Saccharomyces cerevisiae S288C: one gene and its partners. Changing the gene in region 1 together with any one later gene gives a genetic interaction. Each region holds a gene or a part of one and is shown in the gene's direction. Other genes may lie near its edges.

The links.
Region 2: mutations in SET3 (region 1) and SPT3 together harm fitness more than expected from each alone (negative genetic interaction), as found in Saccharomyces cerevisiae (4 studies listed by BioGRID, with this or other methods).
Region 3: mutations in SET3 (region 1) and TUB3 together harm fitness more than expected from each alone (negative genetic interaction), as found in Saccharomyces cerevisiae (4 studies listed by BioGRID).

The regions. Positions count from the first base shown.
Region 1 is NC_001143.9:493,966-501,348, reverse strand, and holds SET3 (histone-binding protein SET3), read left to right. Parts: upstream 1-1,515; coding exon 1,516-3,771; downstream 3,772-7,383. Other genes in the region: SPO14 (phospholipase D), read left to right, coding at 1-5; GMH1 (Gmh1p), read right to left, coding at 246-1,067; SAP190 (Sap190p), read right to left, coding at 3,991-7,092.
Region 2 is NC_001136.10:1,256,222-1,260,209, forward strand, and holds SPT3 (transcriptional regulator SPT3), read left to right. Parts: upstream 1-2,474; coding exon 2,475-3,488; downstream 3,489-3,988. Other genes in the region: E1 ubiquitin-activating protein UBA2, read right to left, coding at 1-626; IAT4 (Iat4p), read right to left, coding at 1,137-1,835; SHE9 (She9p), read left to right, coding at 3,680-3,988. UniProt on the Saccharomyces cerevisiae protein: Component of the transcription coactivator SAGA complex. SAGA acts as a general cofactor required for essentially all RNA polymerase II transcription. At the promoters, SAGA is required for transcription pre-initiation complex (PIC) recruitment.
Region 3 is NC_001145.3:21,548-26,639, reverse strand, and holds TUB3 (alpha-tubulin TUB3), read left to right. Parts: upstream 1-2,956; coding exon 2,957-2,981; exon of another isoform or gene 2,982-3,076; intron 3,077-3,279; coding exon 3,280-4,592; downstream 4,593-5,092. Other genes in the region: YML122C (uncharacterized protein), read left to right, coding at 222-602; phosphate transporter PHO84, read left to right, coding at 840-2,603; PGA3 (cytochrome-b5 reductase), read left to right, coding at 4,941-5,092. UniProt on the Saccharomyces cerevisiae protein: Tubulin is the major constituent of microtubules, a cylinder consisting of laterally associated linear protofilaments composed of alpha- and beta-tubulin heterodimers.

The DNA.
Region 1 (7,383 bases):
ATTAAGGGAATATAAAAACGACCAGGAACACACCATTACCTGTATTTTCCTTTTATCTGTTATAAGCATTCGACGCTGATACATAAACAGTTTTCATTATGCATTCTTTTGGTCCATAGTGTCATTATTGCTCTTATTACTCATTGCATTTTTATACTTCAAATATATATAATAATAATATCATTATGTAATTTATGTGCTTTATCTTAAAGAACCAAATTTTTTCTATTTCCGTGTTCAATTGCTTAATAATTGTAAAAGCTTAATTTCTTGGATAAGTCGATGCCAAATAAACTGATTAAATAGATTATCGATAATCCTAATGTTGGTAAAAGTATAAAGTTCAAATTTTTCAAGAATGGCAACTGGTTGTATCCATAAAAGGTTAAAATAAAGTAATGGCCAATAGCAAAACAATATAACGAATTACCAATGAGTAAGGAAATCCAGTTTTGTAAATTAATTATGGGCAGTAGTAAAAACTGAATGAAGTATAGGCACAGTAGGATGATTAAAAATGAATTACAATGAACGTCGAAACAATAAGCCCACTCTACCACACTATTTTGGCTCGATTTGAATTTAAAATGTGACCTATTCAACAAAAGGTAAAAAATAGTTGCCATAATAAATCCAAATATGAAAAAATCTAAAATCACCATCATTACCAAACTTTTGAAAAAATGACCTATAATGCTCAAGGCCCCCATATCACTGTCGTTGTTGAAACCTGAATTATAAATCGACCAAATAATAGAACTGAGTGAAATTAAGGCTATTTGGAAGATGAAAAAGGAAGGATCATCTCTCGCCCACTGATTTTTCGTCTGTCGCTGATAATATATTGATCTATAAGCTTTTCTTGGATGGAAAATCAAATGGAACATTTCCCAGCTGGCTGTCTCGAGATCTAAATTCTTTGGCGTTTTGAAAAGCCTCCTGATTACCATCGGCACAGATTGCTGACCGTAGCCTTGTCTTGCATCGTTTTCATTACCATTATTACGCCTCCTCTGGCCTTGCGGGCCTGCTGGCAAGTCGTTGGAATAAGTCGGCAAATATGACATTGATAAATCCGTTGACTAAGTAGTGGCAATCGAAAAATTATAGTGCAAATCTGTTTCTTTCTGGCTTTTTGCAGTTATTTCAACAAAATTTAAACCTGTTAAGTTTAATATTCTAGTAAGGTCTATTGGTAATTATTTAACCGTTGGAAGTGATCGTTGTATGAAATTATCATTCTAGATTACAGGTAGTCGATACCTTTTATTATAATACTTTTATAGCATGGTATATTATTCGTAAAAAAACATTAAAGACATGAAACTAGTCCTTTGTTTCCCTGGAAATTGTTCAACCAACTCATTCATCTTACTATGTCATGATAGATGCATATCATTATCAACGACATGCTATATACAGAAAGTAGTAATAAAGGACCTTTCTAGTAAACATGATTTAAAGCGTATATACAACAGTTTTAGATCGTACTTCACAAAATACGAGAACTGAATCATGTCAGTACCTAATTCCAAAGAGCAGTCGCTCCTAGATGATGCATCCACATTGTTATTGTTTTCAAAAGGGAAAAAAAGAGCTGAAGAAGCTTCAAAAATAGGCTCTAAAACAGATACTATTGAGCATGATGAGTCTCATGAGAGAGAAAAAAAAGGAGCAATAGAAATGGCAGCAGCAGCACTGGCTACAGCATCCACAGTTTCTTTACCTTTAAAGAAAGCTACTGAGCAATCGGCGGCAGAAGCAGCAACATCCACGGCAGCAAAAGAAGAGACCGAAAATCAACCTCAAAAGCAACCTCAATGGCCGGTACCTGATTCGTATATAGTCGATCCTGACGCGGGTATAATTACATGTATATGTGATTTAAATGATGATGATGGATTCACTATCCAATGTGACCACTGCAACAGATGGCAGCATGCTATTTGCTATGGCATCAAAGATATTGGGATGGCACCTGATGATTACCTTTGCAACTCATGTGATCCAAGAGAGGTAGACATTAACTTGGCTAGGAAAATACAGCAGGAACGCATAAACGTAAAAACAGTAGAACCTTCTTCATCAAACAATAGTGCTAGTAATAAGAATAACGGTCGGGACAGAGCATCGAGTACAACTATTAGTGACGTTGGCGATAGCTTTTCAACGGATCAGGACAATACTAACCACAGGGACAAAAGAAGGAAAAGAAACCCATCAAATAATAGTATAGACTCCAAAAACGAAAGCGCTTCTGTCAATTCTTCCGATGGATTGACTTCTATGCCCAAGAAAAAAGAGCATTTCCTGAGTGCAAAAGACGCATATGGTGCAATATACTTGCCCTTGAAAGACAATGTGTTTAAAAGTGATCTGATCGAACCGTTCTTAAATAAACATATGGATGATAATTGGGTCATACAATATCCTCATAAGACCTTTAAATCTGTGTCAATTGAAGTCAAACCGTATGCTGACATTGCATATTCCAGGACTTACCCAGGCTTCACGAAATTAGGAGTTTATCTCAAAAAGGACTGCATAAAAGGTGATTTCATTCAAGAAATTTTAGGCGAATTGGACTTCTATAAAAATTATCTCACTGACCCACGAAACCATTACAGGATATGGGGTACAGCTAAAAGAAGGGTCATTTTCCATTCCCATTGGCCGATATATATAGATGCACGCTTATCAGGCAATTCAACTAGGTATTTGAGAAGAAGTTGCCAGCCGAATGTTGAATTAGTAACTATAAAACTGCAAGATACAGACAATAGGAATGACAAAAGCAGTGGAAGAAAATCAAGTAGAATAAAATTTGTTTTAAGAGCTTTGAGAGATATTTCAGAGGATGAGGAGTTATACATCAAATGGCAGTGGGATTCAAAACATCCTATATTAAAATTAATAAAGGGCATGACAATAGACTCTTTAGATGACCTTGAAAGGTATGGGCTGATAAATTCGGTAGAAACAATTTTGAGTAACGGCGAATGCGGCTGTGGAAATAATTCTAAAGATTGTTATTTATTGAAAGTGAAGAGATACGCGCAAAGTCTTTATAAATCTGTGAAATCCAGAGGAAAAATGAACAACAGATATAAATTAAATGAAATTCTCAACCAATATAATTGCAAAAAGAGACGTGAGCCACCAATTTTGCATAGGCTAGAAGAAAAGGCTCAAAATACTATAGAAAGAGCTCCAATACTTTTGAATAATTTTTATCGACAAAAATTCCTTAATCGAAATAATGGTCCAAAAATTCCTCAAAAGAATACTATTGATAGTACAAATAATCCTGATGATATTGCAAAACCCTTCAAATTCGCCTTATTTGCACAACATTCTTCTAATATTTCTGTTCCCAAAAAAAATGAAACTTCAGAAAAACCTTTAATAATTACGAAGAGCACAGATTATGACGAATCACACATTACCAATATTGAAGAATTACCAATTCCAGTTCTTTTACCAATAAACAAGACGTCAAGGCAAACTGCAAACGATGTCGAAGAGAGTCAATCAAAGAATGAACATAAATTAAGTAGAACCCCTTCTCTTTCAAATTTCAATAAAGAACTGTCAAAGGAAGCACAACACAGTCAAGCAAAAACAAAAGAAATCATGACAGAAGCTTCGGTTAATTCAAGGCGAGAATCCACTCCAGAAAGTATAATGCACTTATCAGATTTTTCGTCCTCACAACTGCATTCGAAAAAGAAATTAAGCTTTGCGGATTACAGAAAAAAACTACTGAAATAAACATGGACATTTCCTTCTTACACCTATATAAACTTAAGTATATTCAAAAGTGAATATTCATTATTCTTTATAAGATTATATTCGGTTAATATTAAATTACAAGCCTCAATTAAAAAAGTATATATTTGATGAATTATAAATGACCTATATGCGAAAAAAGTGGAGCAATAAAAAATTGATGAATAAAGGGTGAAAATGTGACAATGTGAATGTTTTAGTTCAGAAAGCTTCTTTACTTCTTGACCTATATAATGAGTAGCCCTCCTCATTGCCCATATCATTCTCTTCATCTTCATCTTCGGAGTCTTCTTCATCGCTTGATATCTCGTTATCCATTCGATCATCAACACTGGTGCCTAGTGCCACTTCTTCGTCTTCGCCATTATTATCCAATGCGGATAAAGAATTGAAAAGAATAGTCTTCGGTCTTGGTGGTGTTTTCGGGGTAGTATACAATGGATTACCAGGTCTGGCATATGACTGGCCATCATCATTAGGATCCATATAGTCATCGTCATCGCCAACACCTTCAAAGTCAAACTGATGGTGAAAAATATTCTGGTCTTGCAGTTTAGGATCTGAAGGTTGTGACCTACTAGGAAAATGGTCTGGAGGGAACAATGAAGTACCCGATGTCCATTTGTCACTCCCGTTTTCATCATTGTCCTCATTATAGAGACTATTGCCATCCCTATGTTCAGATATTTTATCGGTAAACTCTGATTCGGCACTTTTGGATTTACCATCATCACTATCATAATCATCGTCGTTAGTCTCGACGTTATTATAGTAATTTTTATTATCCACATCACTATACTCTGCGTAATCTTCTTCATTTTCTTCATTCTCGTTATTATTGAAGTTATAATATAAATCCATGTTCCCAGAATCATGCCCGTTACTAAGAAGTTCATCGTTTTCTCCATTTCCGTAGTTTTCGTTGCCCTCTGTATCACCAATTATATCCTCAGAATCAGAATTCCTAATAACATCGTCATCGCTTTCTTGGTCATTGCCAAAATCTCCCAAAACGGTGTTATACTTCTCTCTTGTATCAGCCAAGATCGTTTCACTATATTCTTTCCAAAATGGTTCCTCAAGTCGATCTGAAACAGCGGTATTGCAAAAAGTTAGCTTCATTTCATCAATATACTCTTTGAACTTCGATATTTCTTCGGCAACTAATGTCAAATGACCCATATAACCATAACGTAAACCGGTCTTTTTTTCATAGTCTTGACATGCCTTATCCGCATCTACTATCTTTTTAGTTAGGTATGCATCAACCAAATAATCTTTCAAGAGGAACCTATTATAACCAGTTTTGAGGGGACCATTGAATATTTGCTGGGCAATATCAAAAATTACATTATGCAAAAAATTATTCCAAGGGAACTCAGTGAACATATCAAGGATACTAATCAGTATCTTAGTGTCTTCTAGAGCAATCTTCAGCCTGTCTCCAACTAGCGGTTTTTCCCTTAGGCATTCTCTCACGGATTCTGTGTCAGACAAGGTTTCATCATACAACTCTACTCCAGAAGCATCATTTTCTAGCCCCTCAACTACCTTTGCGTCTGATTTCACATCTAGTTTTACACTTGATACCCCAGTATCATTTAATTCATCTTCTTCACTTCCTTGATTATTTATTTGAAGAGCGCCTAAATTTTCTGTGATATCCTTCTCTACGCAATCCTTATCATAATATGATGATTTATTGTCCACAATAGCTGTTATATTTTCCTTTTCGGTTGAAGTTTCTAATTCTTTGGCCCTTTCTATATCACGTTCTTGGGCAATCATCTCACCATTGGGCTCATTTAGCAGCGTCATATTAGAACAGTGCAATAGTTCTGCAATAAGTTCACAGATTTTAAACCTCTCAAATCCCAGAGGTTCAATATTACCGAATGGCATTTCCATTAGTGGCAACTTGGTTTTATCCAGCATATCAGCAAAATCAGGCATATGCTTAGCAAAAAGTTTGACTAAATGTATCAAGTGAATTGGATCTCGATCAGTGGGAGGGTGACTTTCTAGGGTAGTGTAGACTAGTTGGATGAAATCATAATCTGAGTTATTCTTCCTGATCAACTCTATGATAATTCCAACACCATTACTTAAGGATGTACCGCCCTTTAGCATTATCTTAATCAACTTTTCTATCATTTCTTCTGATACTAATTGCCTTGTCAATTCATTAGGACCTATTCCCGAAGCAAGTTCATTGCTTGAGTTAGTGCTTAACGTGACGAATGCCTTAATAAAATCGCCTGCCGCAGACTGAGTGGAAATACCGTATTCTGGATTAAGATGATCTAAAAGTTTAGGTATTAATTCCTGTGATTTTAGTATCTTTATGACACCCGTGGGAGAGTCAGGTTTATCCGTCGAGATAACTTTCAAAAGGAAGTCCATCAAAGACGGATTGTCAACATGTGTCAAGAACCTTGCAACCAAGCTGTCTCGGCTTAATATAAACTCTAACATCCCCGTTATATCCATATCGAGAAGTCTTTCATTTATTTTCATGAAGTAGGTGGAAGCTGGTATCGGTAAGGGAGCTGGGTGATCTAGTATCGACCACAATCTACCAAGAAGATCCTTATTTTGCATTATTGCTGCGGATATAGGCCATACATCAGCCGATAAAATTTCAGCAGCTATCCTTGCCCTTCTAGTCTCCACTTGTTCCTCAGATTCCGGTGGCAAAGTAATGCTTGTCTCTTCAGAATCAACACTTCTTTCGTCCCCAGAGTCATGATCGCTATCATTTGTAGTTTCTTCTGAGTCGCCTCCTTCTTCAGCGTCCTCCTTTTTATCCTTTCTGTCTCTTTCTATCAAAATAGGATGATCGTTTACACCTTCAATAATCTCTGGCTTTTTAGCGCTATCTGTTTCTTCGTCGAGAATCTTCTCGTTGGTAACATATTCTATCAATTTTGATAAAACATCAGGATACTTCAAGAATATTAGTAGCTTGAAATTTGAACACATTAATTCCGTATACAGTTCGTCATCATCCAGCAAATCGTCTAAGACGTCCAAATTAGGTCTATAATTTTCATATTCCGATTCTGTAGTGGGCAGAGTATTTTCTTCTTCCTTCTCTTCGTTCTCGTTAACTACATTATCTTCAGAAGCAGCGTAGTCATGTGAAGAGTTATCTTCGTCATCAGCAATATTTTCTTCACATGTGCCGGTAGGTACGTCGTCATCTTGGTCCTTATTGATTTTAATAAAGGCACTATTTAGAATCTTAGAAACCGGTGACTCTATCGAGTAATCCTGACCAAACTTCCAGAAAGAACCTGACATGCTATTATAATCTTCTCGCAGTTAAGTAAATGAAGAAATGAAATAAAAGAAGAGGATAACAGGACTTATCAACTAAACGCTAAAGTAAATGAACAAACAAAACAAAAGATGATAAAGAAAATGCTAAAGGTGAAAATACTTCAATGAGGTACCCTTCGTATCTTATAATACAAATAGAAAAAATGACAATTAACCGTACGAATTGCAAGGCAAATGCAACTCTTTATTCGTGAGCCGGCCTTTGCAAGAATAAAAAATTCTTGACTTGATAGAAAATCTATTACGAACAAA
Region 2 (3,988 bases), on another chromosome or scaffold:
TTTCCAGAGGTCTCTGACGCAAATAGCTGGTTAAATAGAAAGTTTTTCGCCCAAACAATGCAATGAATTGGCTGAGAAGGAGTGGACCTGATAGTACACACAGGAAAAGTCTTTGGTGTTTCCTTCTTTGTACATTCAAAACACTCAGTTTTCCCGGGGATAATAGGCTGCATGTATCCATCAAATCCAGCTGTTCCAGATTCTATTAAGGGCAGTGATAGAAACTGTGATATTTTATTGACATACCGTCTTGCGGCCAAGTTATCAAGAGCATTGAAGATAATGTCAAATTGCTCAAACCAATGCAGTGGGAAGGTAGAAATGTCCATAACATTTCCTTGGTAAGGCACTAACTTAGAGTTATTGAAATGCTGTACTGCTTTTACGGCTGTGGTAGACTTCGGTTGTTTAATATCTTTTTGTCTAAAAAGAAATTGCCTGTTTAAGTTCGAAAGGTCAATGGTGTCCAAATCGACAATATGTATTTCACCAAATTCCATCAAGATTATATCCTTTAACAATTCAGACCCTATGCCCCCAGCACCGACCAGAAGACATCTTGAGGACCGTAATTTCTTGTAACTATCTTCACCGATGATTGTTACCAAACTTGTTTCCCTTGGCATTTTCTTTTCTTGTTTGGCGTAGCGCTCCTGATCTTGTGTGTCTGTTGAAGTACGCAATTAGTGGATTGCTCATCCAAATATCTTGATTTAGCGTAAACATACTTCGCCTTTGAAAAACTTTAACTTGAAAATAGAGTATAAAAAAAAATTGCACAAAAAATGCGGAAGCCGGGAATCGAACCCGGGCCCCATGCTTGGGAAGCATGAATTCTAACCACTGAACCACTTTCGCTAAGAAGATCTAGCTTACATAGGTTTTGTGGTAATATAAATTCTTGAGACCGTAACCGCGCAAAGAAATACCTAAAATAGTAATTGCTAACTACATCTAAAAACAGACTGAAGCTCACTAGATATGAGACTTTTCTCACATCTTCAAAATAAAGAAAACAATAGCAGGCGAAATTTTTTTGAACCTGGTTATACAGTGCATGCTCCAAAATGTCGTCTTTAAACACTACTTTTTATTCTAAATAATTACTTGAAGGGGGGAAAGAAAAAGCTCAAAAACTACTCTTTTAAGACTTTATTACCGTCCTTATGATATATCATTAAATAGGCTGTGAACCCTTCACCATTCGGATCGCAATTGCCGTTAGAGTCGACCTCACACTCACCGTATTTGAACGTCATGTAATTTCTAAATCCAAAATATTCGTACACAGATTTAGCATGCTCGGCAATAGCTTCAAGGACAATGGCGCAATTTTCTTCGTCTGCTCTCCTTTTGTACTCTTCAAAAATAGTCCTTACAGAACCTCTGATTCCTTTCTCATTTAAGTTCTTACCAATACAGAAAAGATAGTAGTAATTGATGCCATTTGGAATGACTTGCTTTACGCGAGCATTTAAATCGTCAATAAAGTCCTTGTTGAACTTTGCATCATTACTCCTTGCCTTCGGAACGTGAGGTGGAAGACTCCACACTGCAACAGCATCGAAAGTATTAACTTCGGAGATCTCACCATAAGGTGAATCCAGGAATGGCGATATGATATCGGTGGTTATTGTCCTTGTAGGCACCTTCTCAGCTAGAGGAATATTTAAGATTTTCTTGCAGATAAAATGAAACGCTGGCGAGTTACTAAAAGCAATAGACAAAGTCTCTGCTGCTCTTCTGGCATCCGTAGTCTTGTTCAGGGTACAGACCATATGGCCCTTAGCATCGTTGTTTTCTAATGGAGTTGGCAGTTTGTTCTCGAAGGACATGATGTTCGGTTACATGTCTTAGAATTATTTTCTCGAGATTAGTGAGTGACTTGGCATAATATCAGGTACAATAACTGTTATATATACGCCGGCGGCATTTCATTTTTTTCACTTATCTCAGCCCCTGGGACTCTGATGCCGTTCACACCAACGTCTGCTGTGATTTGGAGTGAAATATCTGGATACTAATAGAAATATTACGATAAAAAAGAGTTATCTACAGTTTGCTGCATTATTTTTGCGTTATCGGTCAATCAACTTTAAGAGATCACCGTACATTTCCGGCAGCATTAGCGGGCGTCTCTTAGTTTCTTTGCAATACAGTAGGAACTCCAATTTTTTGTTCGTCTCCTCGCTACATTCAGATTCAACTGCAATCTCGAAAACAAGTTTTTTATGCCGCCAAAATAGGTATACATTGCGTTCAATGCATTCTCATTCATCTCTATCGCAAGAACGTCTTGTTCAAAGCTGCCCTTTCTTGAGGCTTCAAGCGCAGCGCACAGAAAAGAAGAAAATCCGAACCATGTAATATAGATCGGCGGAAACGAAAAGTAAAAAGTAAGGTTGAAGACACTCTGAACCCGGGGAAGAGTGCATACAAGGTACCGTGCCAAAATTCAAGAGATTAGGGCAGGAATGATGGACAAGCATAAGTATCGTGTGGAGATTCAACAGATGATGTTTGTCTCTGGTGAAATTAACGACCCACCCGTAGAAACCACATCACTGATAGAAGATATAGTGAGGGGTCAAGTGATAGAAATTCTTTTACAGTCAAACAAAACGGCGCATCTTAGGGGAAGTAGGAGCATTCTCCCTGAAGACGTCATTTTCTTGATCAGACACGACAAGGCCAAAGTCAATCGTTTGAGAACATATCTGTCATGGAAGGATTTGCGTAAAAACGCCAAGGACCAAGATGCTAGTGCCGGTGTAGCGAGTGGCACTGGAAATCCTGGGGCAGGTGGTGAAGATGATTTGAAAAAAGCAGGTGGTGGCGAGAAAGACGAAAAAGATGGTGGAAACATGATGAAGGTCAAGAAATCCCAAATTAAGCTGCCATGGGAATTGCAGTTTATGTTCAATGAACATCCTTTAGAAAATAATGACGACAATGATGATATGGATGAGGATGAACGAGAAGCTAATATAGTCACTTTGAAAAGGCTGAAAATGGCTGACGATAGAACACGAAACATGACTAAAGAGGAGTACGTGCATTGGTCCGATTGTCGACAGGCAAGTTTTACATTTAGGAAGAATAAAAGGTTCAAGGACTGGTCTGGAATTTCGCAATTAACTGAGGGGAAACCCCATGATGATGTGATTGATATACTGGGGTTTCTAACTTTTGAGATTGTCTGTTCTTTGACGGAAACAGCTCTGAAAATCAAACAAAGAGAACAGGTATTACAGACTCAAAAGGACAAATCCCAGCAATCTAGCCAAGATAATACTAACTTTGAATTTGCATCATCCACATTACATAGAAAGAAAAGATTATTTGATGGACCTGAAAATGTTATAAACCCGCTCAAACCAAGGCATATAGAGGAAGCCTGGAGAGTACTACAAACAATTGACATGAGGCATAGGGCTTTGACCAACTTTAAAGGTGGTAGACTCAGTTCTAAACCAATTATCATGTAAATTTTTGTATAATTTCATCATGGAGGTGCATGGGTTTCCTTCTGGTATGATAAATGTGAGCCAAATGAATTGAAAAATACAAATAAAGATTATGTACGTAGATACGCGTTATAAAGAGGACTATCTGATCATTGGGGTCTTTTTCGTTGTGAAATTGTAACGGGTGAACTCAGTGATTAAAAAATTGCGTGATGTTGAGATACTATGGGGCGACAAGAAACTTACCCTTAGTATTCAGCATTAACAAATTAATGTTGAGGGCGTCATCTTTCACCAGGCCATTTCATTATAGTTCATATTCTCTACAGAACGGTGATACTCCTGATAAAGGCAGCACTAATAAAAATGAAATACGGACACCTAATAACGCTGTTTGGAAAGAAAATATAGAACTTCAATGGCAGCACTTGAAAAAGAAATTAAATGAATTGTATTCTAGGTTTAACTTCCACCGAGATCAATTATCCTTTCAAGTTAACAAGGCCAAAAAATCAATTCAA
Region 3 (5,092 bases), on another chromosome or scaffold:
TCGGTATACTCTGCCTAATAAACCTTAATTTTCTTACAAAAAAAAAAAGATTCAATAAAAAAAGAAATGAGATCAAAAAAAAAAAAAATTAAAAAAAAAAAGAAACTAATTTATCAGCCGCTCGTTTATCAACCGTTATTACCAAATTATGAATAAAAAAACCATATTATTATGAAAAGACACAACCGGAAGGGGAGATCACAGACCTTGACCAAGAAAACATGCCAAGAAATGACAGCAATCAGTATTACGCACGTTGGTGCTGTTATAGGCGCCCTATACGTGCAGCATTTGCTCGTAAGGGCCCTTTCAACTCATCTAGCGGCTATGAAGAAAATGTTGCCCGGCTGAAAAACACCCGTTCCTCTCACTGCCGCACCGCCCGATGCCAATTTAATAGTTCCACGTGGACGTGTTATTTCCAGCACGTGGGGCGGAAATTAGCGACGGCAATTGATTATGGTTCGCCGCAGTCCATCGAAATCAGTGAGATCGGTGCAGTTATGCACCAAATGTCGTGTGAAAGGCTTTCCTTATCCCTCTTCTCCCGTTTTGCCTGCTTATTAGCTAGATTAAAAACGTGCGTATTACTCATTAATTAACCGACCTCATCTATGAGCTAATTATTATTCCTTTTTGGCAGCATGATGCAACCACATTGCACACCGGTAATGCCAACTTAGATCCACTTACTATTGTGGCTCGTATACGTATATATATAAGCTCATCCTCATCTCTTGTATAAAGTAAAGTTCTAAGTTCACTTCTAAATTTTATCTTTCCTCATCTCGTAGATCACCAGGGCACACAACAAACAAAACTCCACGAATACAATCCAAATGAGTTCCGTCAATAAAGATACTATTCATGTTGCTGAAAGAAGTCTTCATAAAGAACACCTTACCGAAGGTGGTAACATGGCCTTCCACAACCATTTGAATGATTTTGCTCATATTGAAGATCCTCTGGAAAGAAGAAGATTGGCTTTGGAGTCCATCGATGACGAAGGTTTCGGTTGGCAACAAGTTAAGACCATCTCCATTGCTGGTGTTGGTTTCTTGACAGATTCTTATGATATTTTTGCCATTAATTTGGGTATCACTATGATGTCCTACGTTTACTGGCACGGTAGTATGCCAGGTCCAAGTCAAACCTTGTTGAAGGTTTCCACTTCTGTTGGTACTGTTATTGGTCAATTTGGTTTTGGTACTTTAGCTGATATTGTTGGTCGTAAGAGAATTTATGGTATGGAACTTATTATCATGATTGTCTGTACCATTCTGCAAACCACTGTTGCTCATTCTCCTGCTATTAACTTCGTTGCTGTTTTAACATTCTACCGTATTGTCATGGGTATTGGTATCGGTGGTGACTACCCACTATCTTCTATTATTACTTCTGAATTTGCCACTACCAAATGGAGAGGTGCCATCATGGGTGCTGTCTTTGCTAACCAAGCTTGGGGTCAAATCTCCGGTGGTATCATCGCTCTTATCTTGGTTGCTGCTTACAAGGGCGAACTAGAATACGCAAACTCTGGTGCTGAATGTGATGCTAGATGTCAAAAGGCTTGTGACCAAATGTGGAGAATCCTTATTGGGTTGGGTACCGTTCTAGGGTTGGCATGTTTGTATTTCAGATTAACTATTCCAGAATCTCCTAGATATCAATTGGATGTTAACGCTAAGTTGGAACTTGCTGCTGCCGCACAAGAACAAGATGGCGAAAAGAAAATTCACGACACCAGTGATGAAGACATGGCAATTAACGGTTTGGAAAGAGCTTCTACTGCCGTCGAATCTCTTGACAATCATCCTCCAAAGGCTTCGTTCAAAGATTTCTGCAGACATTTTGGTCAATGGAAGTACGGTAAGATTTTGCTAGGTACTGCTGGTTCATGGTTTACCTTAGATGTTGCTTTCTACGGGTTGAGTTTAAACAGTGCTGTTATTCTGCAAACCATCGGTTATGCCGGTTCCAAAAACGTTTACAAGAAACTGTATGATACTGCTGTCGGTAATCTGATTTTGATTTGTGCTGGTTCATTACCTGGTTACTGGGTATCCGTCTTCACTGTCGATATAATCGGTAGAAAACCAATTCAATTAGCCGGTTTCATCATCTTGACCGCTTTGTTCTGTGTCATCGGTTTCGCATACCATAAACTTGGTGACCATGGTCTGTTGGCTCTTTACGTCATTTGTCAATTCTTCCAAAACTTCGGTCCAAACACAACCACCTTTATTGTTCCTGGTGAGTGTTTCCCAACTCGTTACAGATCTACTGCTCATGGTATTTCTGCTGCATCTGGTAAGGTCGGTGCCATTATTGCACAAACCGCTTTGGGTACTCTAATCGACCATAACTGTGCTAGAGACGGTAAGCCAACCAACTGTTGGTTACCTCACGTCATGGAAATTTTCGCCTTATTCATGTTGTTGGGTATCTTCACAACCTTGTTGATCCCAGAAACTAAGAGAAAGACTCTAGAAGAAATTAACGAGCTATACCACGATGAAATCGATCCTGCTACGCTAAACTTCAGAAACAAGAATAATGACATTGAATCTTCCAGCCCATCTCAACTTCAACATGAAGCATAAAAGCCTCAAAGATGCACTAAAACTTGTAAACTAGAACAAATAATACAAAAACATTTTTATAAACTTATTATCAAACCCCTTACATAATCTATAAATACTGTCAGGTTACATATTTATTCGATAATTTCTTTTAATTTCATTATTTCCTCACATCTCTCTGCCATCCTGTTGGCTGGTGCCAGAGCAGAGCATATCGTCCTTTCTTTTTTAGTTCCAGACGTTACCCGACATATCATTTCTCGAGCCTCTGGAAACCACGAAACGTTTTACAAATTGCACATCTAAAAGAAATATAAACACAGATCAGGTATCTCATAAAGTACATTAATCGACTAAGCAAGCGACTTGAGACAATGAGAGAGGTCATTAGTATTAATGGTATGTATGCGTTCCTTTTTTTGTTCAATATTCGCAACCAATGGCACCTGTGGGACAGGGAAAGAAGTTTGATCTGATCTGGTTTGATTCATTCCCAATTGGTCACCATCTGGTTGATTTACGGCAAATAATTTGACTTGTACCAGCACAGTTTACTAACAGTTTCTTTTTCTCCATTTTTTCTGGGCATACTCGGACGAAAAAGCTCATAATTGACCTCATTACATGGGGAGTGATTTTTGTGTCTTCTTCTTCGGAGGATTGCTGGAACTTTTGTTATTTTTCTTTTTTACAACAGTTGGTCAAGCAGGTTGTCAAATAGGTAATGCATGCTGGGAATTGTACTCCCTAGAGCATGGCATCAAGGAAGACGGCCATTTGGAGGATGGCTTGTCAAAACCTAAGGGAGGTGAAGAAGGATTTTCTACATTCTTCCATGAAACGGGGTACGGAAAATTCGTCCCAAGAGCAATCTACGTGGATTTAGAGCCCAATGTTATCGATGAAGTACGTACAGGACGTTTCAAGGAGCTTTTCCATCCAGAACAATTGATTAACGGTAAGGAAGATGCCGCCAATAACTACGCAAGAGGCCATTATACAGTGGGTAGAGAAATAGTGGATGAAGTTGAAGAAAGAATTAGAAAGATGGCCGACCAATGTGACGGTTTACAAGGGTTCTTGTTCACCCACTCCCTCGGTGGTGGAACTGGTTCCGGTTTAGGTTCCCTGTTATTAGAAAACTTATCGTATGAATACGGGAAGAAATCCAAATTGGAATTCGCCGTTTATCCTGCGCCTCAATTGTCTACTTCCGTCGTGGAACCTTACAACACGGTTTTAACCACGCATACCACCCTGGAACACGCAGACTGTACGTTTATGGTCGATAACGAAGCCATTTACGATATATGCAAGAGGAACTTGGGAATTTCTAGACCAAGCTTCAGCAACTTGAACGGGTTGATTGCCCAAGTGATATCATCTGTTACAGCCTCTTTGAGGTTCGATGGTTCATTAAACGTGGATTTGAACGAATTTCAGACCAACTTGGTACCATATCCAAGAATTCATTTCCCTTTGGTTTCCTACGCACCCATCTTGTCCAAGAAGAGGGCCACCCATGAATCCAACTCCGTGTCAGAAATCACAAACGCTTGTTTCGAACCGGGCAATCAAATGGTTAAGTGTGACCCAACAAAGGGGAAGTACATGGCTAACTGTTTGTTATACAGAGGTGACGTGGTGACCAGAGATGTCCAAAGAGCCGTCGAACAGGTGAAGAATAAAAAAACAGTACAAATGGTGGATTGGTGTCCAACAGGATTTAAGATTGGTATTTGTTATGAGCCACCAAGTGTGATACCAAGTTCCGAATTAGCCAATGTGGATAGAGCTGTCTGCATGCTATCCAACACCACTGCCATCGCGGACGCTTGGAAGAGAATCGATCAGAAATTCGACCTGATGTATGCCAAACGTGCTTTCGTCCATTGGTATGTCGGTGAAGGTATGGAAGAAGGTGAGTTCACCGAAGCTAGAGAAGATTTAGCTGCCTTAGAAAGAGATTATATTGAAGTGGGTGCCGATTCTTACGCTGAGGAGTTCTAAGAAAGTGGCTCTGATCCCGATACCCACTTATAGATTTATATTTACTTAATGTCCATATGTATATACATATATATATATATATATATATACGCTTATATATATATATGCATATTCTATCCAAATAAAGATACCTCTAATTATCGAATTATTTTTCACTTACCTTTAGGTGTACAGTTAGAACAATAGCTTATTAAATTTATTTTTTTCCCTATGTTCCGCGGAATATTGAAAAATTTGAAAATATTCTAAGACAAAAATACCCATAAAAAACAAAGAGTTTTGAGCTCATCTCGTTGCCACCCAAACTTATCACAAAAAAGGAAGCACTCCAAGAACCGCGTGAAGAAAATGTCAAAAGAAGACATAGAAGGAACTAACATTCTAGACGAACCTGTCCACGGGATCTATATTCCTGCCGCGCTATTCGTTGTTGGTGTTGCAATCACCACGTATATGTCTGGTGAATTGAAAATCCTGTGGAGTTTACCCATTCTCTTCAT